Linked DNA regions of Arabidopsis thaliana. The protein of the gene in region 1 binds, or shares a complex with, the protein of each later gene. Each region holds a gene or a part of one and is shown in the gene's direction. Other genes may lie near its edges.

Region 1 (3,602 bases):
AACGACAACAATAGTGCTACGAGACACAACAAGAGTCTCAGCGTCGAGACCGGTTTAGATGAGGCTGCCACCGGATCCCATGACGCTGAACCATTGACCATTATTCATCCTAGTCAGGGTCCACCACTTTCAAGATCGGCTGCGGATGAAGCAGTCCTCGCCGCCCTCGCCGCCTCACAGGCTAGAGAAAGGCAGCTTTTGGCAGACATGGAGCAGATGAAAGAGCGCTTCTCCAAGCTGTTGCTGGGAGAGGACAATTCCGGTGGAGGCAAAGGAGTATCCTCTGCTCTCGCCCTTTCAAACGCAATCACAAACCTTGCAGGTTGCTTTAGGACCCTCTTTTGTTATTACACTTAGTTTATATTAACCAGCAACCAATATCTCATGTTTATCTTGTTGGTATAGCTTCCGTGTTCGGAGAGCAACGGCGCTTGGAGCCAATGCCTGCAGAAAGAAGAGCAAGATGGAGAAAAGAGATTGATTGGCTTCTCTCCGTGACCGATTACGTGGTTGAGTTTGCTCCATCTCAGCAGAAAAATAAAGATGGGACCAATATGGAGGTTGTCTATCTGCTGCTGCTGCTGCATTATATTTCATTTGGTAACATACAATGATTCCCTTATTCTGTTGGTATTGATTTAACAGATAATGACCACACGCCAACGTACTGACCTCCACATGAATATCCCCGCATTGAAGAAACTGGACGCCATGCTCATCGTAAGACCTCTCTCTCTCTCTCTCTCGTTGACCAAATATCAACCCTACTTTAATAATTTCATTTAGGATATTCAAAAGCATCCTCTTATCCCCCTTTTCTACCTAGGATTGTCTAGAAAATTTCAAGGACCAAAGCGAGTTCAGCTATATCTCAAAAGACTCCCCTGACTTAGACGGTAAGAGAAACGACGAAAAATGGTGGATTCCGACCGTCAAAGTTCCACCAGATGGTCTATCAGAAGCTTCAAGAAGGTTTTTGCAGTACCAGAAAGATTGTGTAAACCAGGTTCTAAAGGCAGCCATGGCCATAAACGCACAGGTTTTGTTCGAGATGGAGATACCTGAGAGCTACATCGACTCTCTCCCAAAGGTAAAAAAAAAAAAAGACACCAACAATTGATGTTATTGATTAGAAGAGTTGATGAAGAATAATACTCACTTGTTTAGTTTGTAATAAATAAATAAACAGAACGGGAGGGCGAGTCTCGGGGATCAGATGTACAAGAATATAACGGTGGACTTCTTTGACCCGGACCAGTTCCTGAGCAGCATGGACATGTCGTCGGAGCACAAGATCGTGGACCTCAAAAACAGAATCGAGGCATCAATCATTATATGGAAACGCAAAATGGTTTATAAAGACAACAAATCATCGGCACCCTGGGCCTCCGGAGTAAGTCTGGAGAAGCGAGAGGTCTTCGAAGAGCGAGCTGAGACCATTTTGCTCATTCTCAAGCAAAGATACCCCGGGATTTCTCAATCTTCACTCGACATCAGCAAAATCCAGTTCAACGAGGACGTGGGCCAGGCGGTGCTGGAGAGCTACTCGAGAATACTGGAAAGCTTGGCCTACACGGTACTTTCCAGAATCGATGACGTTTTAGAGGCAGATCGAGCGGGGAACAAGAGGAACACGCCATTGGAAGCAGAGGAAGAGACGCTGGTTGGGAGCATGACGCTGTCGGATTTCATGGGATGGGACTTCGATCAGGCCGCGAACGCCGAATTGGAGTCGAAGAAGGATCTACCGGATGATCCGTTGATAAAGGAGAAGCTAAGCGTCGTCACGACCAAGAAGACCTCATACCTCGAAACCCTAGGCGGTGTCAAGAGTCCAACGGCACGGCATTGATATTTGTGTGGAAAATTAGGCGCAAAAAAGAGCGAAGACAGATTTATTGATTATTTAATTATTTTTAGGATTCAAAAACTTTACAAAAGGGCTTTTGTAAATTCCTTTTTATGAAAAGGTGGGCTTTTAAGATTAGGCCCAGTTTATTGTAAAACCCATTTACCATCTGTATACTGTATACATCCCTTCTAAATAGTAGTAGTACTCACCTTATCTTCATTTTCATCGATTCGATTCCAAATCGGAAGGATGATAACGTCGTCCCTAACCTCATCTCTGCAAGCTCTCAAGCTTTCGTCTCCGTTCGCCCATGGCTCCACTCCTCTCTCATCTCTCTCTAAGCCCAATTCCTTCCCGAACCACAGAATGCCCGCTTTAGTTCCGGTCATCAGAGCCATGAAAACGATGCAGGGGCGCGTGGTGTGCGCAACCAGTGACAAGACTGTGGCGGTGGAGGTGGTGAGGCTGGCTCCCCACCCCAAGTACAAGAGGCGCGTGAGGATGAAGAAGAAGTACCAAGCTCACGACCCCGATAATCAGTTCAAGGTTGGCGACGTGGTCAGACTGGAAAAGAGCAGACCCATCAGTAAGACTAAATCATTTGTGGCGCTTCCTGTCATCGCAAGGGCCGCCAGGAAAGCCGAAGCCGGAGGAGATGAACTCCTTGGCCTTCCCTTGGAGTCTCAGCAGCCGGCGTAGAGAATGATTGCTCTTTGTTTCTTTTGGTAAAGCCGTCTTTTTTTTGCTCTGCTTCTGTTTGTTTGTTGTGTATCCCGGAACCAGTGTAATTTATGGAATGCTTTTGTGATTTCATTGCTTATGCCATGAGTGTGTTTTCAATCTGATTGTTTCCGACTACCAATTGTTTGCTCTTACTTCATCTTCACCTCCAGTTACATTTAGAATGTGAATTAATATGTTTCTGTTGCTACTGTGTGCTTGTGGTCTCAGTGATCCGACTTTTGTTTCTGCTAATTCTACGGTTCTTGCTCCTCTTGTTATGGTTCATTTGCCAATGGAATGGACCAAAAAGGTGTTGGATAATAATAGGATTGGAGAAGAGAGAGCTGGTCGTTTTTGTACAAAACTTTAATGCACTGCTGCTATACATTATCATATAATTATATATAGGTAAATAATATCTGCTGTGACTTGTCATCAGCAATCTTCGATTTGTAGACTTCTCTTAATGTTGTGTAGTGTGACTGAGACGAGGTTTGTCACGGATTCCACAGACTCCATATTCAGCTTTGCTGCAGGAGAAGGGTTGATGAGGGTTTGGAGGGCGAGTGTCAGGAGCGACCCTCCTTGGCTGTTTCTGTCGTCTTGTGTAGACGTTATTACCAGTGGCCGTGACTCTACTCCATCAGGTATGATTGAGAATCCAGAGGGGAGGATTTGGATGTTGCTTGGATCATGTCCCGCGAGCACCAGCTGTGTCGTGTTTATATCTACGGGAGCGTATACCACCACCGACTCATACGAGTTAGTGCTGCTGTCTTGCAGCACCCATATGCTCTTTTCTCTCGATTTCACTGTCTGGAAATGTATAGAAATTCAGATTATCAAGGCCTAGACAGATTTAGAGGAGGAGAAGACAAAATAAACGCACCTGGATTGCCACTGAGTTGCCTCTGTCTTGTCCCTTGGATAAGTTTGCAATAGACTGAACATGAGCTCCGTTTGACAAAGCATCCCACTGATGATATGTATCGTTAGATAAATATATGAGTGGAAACCGCTTTTCTTG
Region 2 (3,454 bases), 4.3 Mb from region 1:
CGGCTATCAGCGACGTCGCTTGACTGCCAGAGAAGCTTCTCTGTGTTTTGCTCCGGTACTGATCCCATTTTACCTCCCATTAGAAATGATTCTGACAATTCTACAGAACCTGAGAGATTCTTGTCGTCCTTACGAATAGAAAGATGTTTATTTATCTATTTATCAAGATTTGTTTTGTACTACGCAATTAATGCATGCCTTCGATTCATCATCTCTAAATAATCAAGTTTTTTTAAAAAATTTACAATTTGGTGCATCTACATTACAAATTTTAATAATTGTCCGATTTATAACTTTGATGTTTTTGGTTGAAATCTAATCATTAACATATTAACCACCAAAAGTGTCCAAATTTTTTGAAACAGATGGAATTTAAAACGTGAGAATTTACATTTGTGGACCAGTAATGCATAAATGGACCGGTAAGGCCGTAATATGATTTTTTGTGACTATTAGTTATTCAGTAAAAAAATTAAAAATAGAATTATATTATTTCTTAATTTCTGTTCAATGTGTTAATGTTTCTTAAACTGTAGACTTTACCTTTTTGGCTCAGCTACATAATATTTTTTCATAGTTACCCGATTTAGTAAGTTTTTTTGTTGAATCTAAACATCAACATAATTCATTGTGACCAGTAAAAGTGTCGCAGAAATAACAACAGATATCTATGGATAAACAACCTGAGAATTAACTATAGTGGACGTGTGTAATGTAAATGGACCAATAATGTGACGGTGAACAAATTTACACACATATCTTAAAGTCTCTTCAAGTTCAAGACTCTAATAATTGAATTACAGACCCACAGTTTTGGAGAAGTTGCAAGTATCAAAGAGACGACAAGTTTCATGGTCGTGACTTGTGTGAATGTGACATTTTGAAACTCCTACTTACTACCGCATCGCATCTTACTACTTCCTAACTATGCTCAAAAGCCAAGCCCTACCCTACACAGTGTACCCACCCTCACATGAGATTTTTCCTACTTTTTTTTGAGAAACAACAATTATTTATGTATTTTGGGTGAGTTTGATTGTTTTATCCAATTATTGTATGCTGAAAATAAAAAATATCGTGTGCACATTATATAATAACTACGATGTAAGAAGTATTTCAAACTTTTACTATATATACTCATCGAATGATGTTCATGAATGACCATCATGGTGTCTTTCTCCTTAAAGGCTTTCTCATCTCATCTATCCAGTGCTACTTCAAGTCCAAAGAAAGACTCTTCTTTGGCCTCAGCAAACCTGTGAAAATAAAGAAGACGATTTTTTAAGATGAATCATGTGACATAATGTAAAAAGAATCATGTGACATATATAATGTAAAGGCCACTTTCTCAACAATTATTTGTTTTTGATAAATAAATAAAACAAATTGAGGACATCTTGCAGCGTACAATATCGATAATTATATTTTGTTAAAAATTGTGTTTTGATTAATACAAAAATTTATTTCACACAAAAAAATTTATTGACTTTGATCAAATCATGAACACTAAACAAAGATGAGGTTTTTAATTTTTGTATAAATACTTGTGGCTGTCAAATGTCATTCGAATTAAATATGATATGATTAATACTTATATGTTGAGATCTTTGAATTAGTCCCTCGAAAATACTTGAAACAGAGTCTGTATTTTTAAAAGTCTACTTCTCAAAGCTTCAGGTTTGTATTCATGGGCTTATAATAAACTCTGTATTCTTGACCCATTTAATGATGGGCCAAGTCAACAAAGCCCATAAATTTGATAGTCAAACTACTTTGAAACTCCACCCAAAAATGTGACCATATCTTCCTTATCCATATTCTCACAAAATCTCCATTGTTCTCTGAGAAAACACAAAAATGATGTCATCAATGGCACTCTCTTCTACTTCCCTCTGCTCTTCTTTCATCTCTCAACATCCAAAACTCTCCATCACTGCTTCTCCTCCATTGTTCCATACCCAAACAACCAAACCCATCTCTGTAAAACGGAAAATCATAACTCTAGCAGCTCCAGAGACACTCACCGCTGAAACAGTCACCGGAATTGATACTTCCGACAACACTCCACAACAAACAATAAAGGTAAAAACAACATATTCTTCTTCATCTTCTTGTCTCTTGTGTTACAAAACCCACAAATCTTTGTTGTTTGTGTTAGGTGGTGAAGCCAGATGAGAAATCAAGAGTGGTACTCAAGTTTGTGTGGATGGAGAAGAACATAGGATTAGGATTGGACCAACATGTACCTGGACATGGCACAATCCCACTTAGTCCTTACTTCTTCTGGCCTAGGAAAGATGCTTGGGAAGAGCTTAAGTCTACTCTTGAAGCTAAACCATGGATCTCTCAGAAGAAGATGATCATTCTTCTAAACCAAGCCACTGATATCATCAATCTCTGGCAACAAAGTGGCGGCAATTTAACTTCTCAATAATCTCTTTTTTGATTTCTGCATTTCAAGAATTCACTTTGTCTATGATTATTATTGCTATTGAGAGTTTTTTGTTTATCTAAACAATATCCAATCACATTCGACATAAAAGATTCATTTTATTGGAAAGAGAAAATGATAATAAAAGCAAACATCAAGCAACTCTGAGTTATTGTTTCCTTGAAGGACATATCAAACGCTTGATGGTTGAGATTTTGCAGAGAAGAGCTTCACCATAGGATTTAGAGACTCTCCGGTCACCGGAATATGTACACGTTAGTGTCACTTTCTTCTCCAACACACTCACCAATATTGAATATGTTTCTGCTCCAAGAAAACAGAGGAAACAAGCGTGAGAGGAAAGAACAAAAAAGTGTCTCATCTCGGAAGTAAGTAAGCTATATACTCACCGATCATCCTCGCCATTATGTCGGCGACTTTCTCTTGGCAGTCACTACATCTGATGTCTGCTGATAGAACAATCTCCTGAATCTGATAACACACAAGATCAATTAAAAGAATCCACAGAGTTGAATCATTCTAAGACAAAAGTGTTAAGAGAGTAACGAACAAGTGGCATGGATAACGATGCGACAGAAGCGAGACTGGTTTCACTTGTTCTTGAAAGCTTGCTTCTTAGTGATGGTTCAAGTTCCTCCTCGACGATTTGAGACAGAGTAGCCATGACACTCTCGTTGCACAGAGAAGATAGATAAAACAGGAAATGAAGAATCCTATAGAAACAGTCTCTTGTACAAGGAAAGATAAGTAAAACAAAAATCTAGAATCCTAAAGAAACCACCAAACCAAGAGTGGGAAACGAAGAGTGTCGCTATCCGAAAAGGATGAGTTAGCAAAACTAGTGACAGAGGAAGCCCATCTTTGCTTTTGCTTTAATCTTTGGAGAAAACTAAGTTTAGAGACTCAAGAGACATGTTAACACACAATAGAGATATAATATATGCTTTGGATCCATGACTTAGTGTCCATTAATCTGAGTAAGAAAGTCAAGTTCTTTTGGCT

What was found. The genes of interacting proteins can lie anywhere in the genome.
Region 2: RPS17 (region 1) and PSRP3/1 share a complex: the UniProt entries of both Arabidopsis thaliana proteins name them as parts of the 30S ribosomal subunit.

What each region holds. Positions count from the first base shown.
Region 1 is NC_003070.9:30,040,422-30,044,023, reverse strand, and holds RPS17 (ribosomal protein S17), read left to right. Parts: upstream 1-2,071; 5' UTR 2,072-2,101; coding exon 2,102-2,551; 3' UTR 2,552-2,781; downstream 2,782-3,602. Other genes in the region: ROPGEF12 (RHO guanyl-nucleotide exchange factor 12), read left to right, coding at 1-322, 406-560, 646-720, 827-1,090, 1,190-1,852; GL2 (HD-ZIP IV family of homeobox-leucine zipper protein with lipid-binding START domain-containing protein), read right to left, coding at 3,011-3,391, 3,465-3,551. UniProt on the Arabidopsis thaliana protein: One of the primary rRNA binding proteins, it binds specifically to the 5'-end of 16S ribosomal RNA. Required for optimal plastid performance in terms of photosynthesis and growth. Required for the translation of plastid mRNAs.
Region 2 is NC_003070.9:25,756,573-25,760,026, reverse strand, and holds PSRP3/1 (Ribosomal protein PSRP-3/Ycf65), read left to right. Parts: upstream 1-1,615; 5' UTR 1,616-1,857; coding exon 1,858-2,082; intron 2,083-2,158; coding exon 2,159-2,434; 3' UTR 2,435-2,600; downstream 2,601-3,454. Other genes in the region: AT1G68600 (aluminum activated malate transporter family protein), read right to left, coding at 1-80; AT1G68585 (uncharacterized protein), read right to left, coding at 2,601-2,755, 2,842-2,923, 3,003-3,116. UniProt on the Arabidopsis thaliana protein: Component of the chloroplast ribosome (chloro-ribosome), a dedicated translation machinery responsible for the synthesis of chloroplast genome-encoded proteins, including proteins of the transcription and translation machinery and components of the photosynthetic apparatus.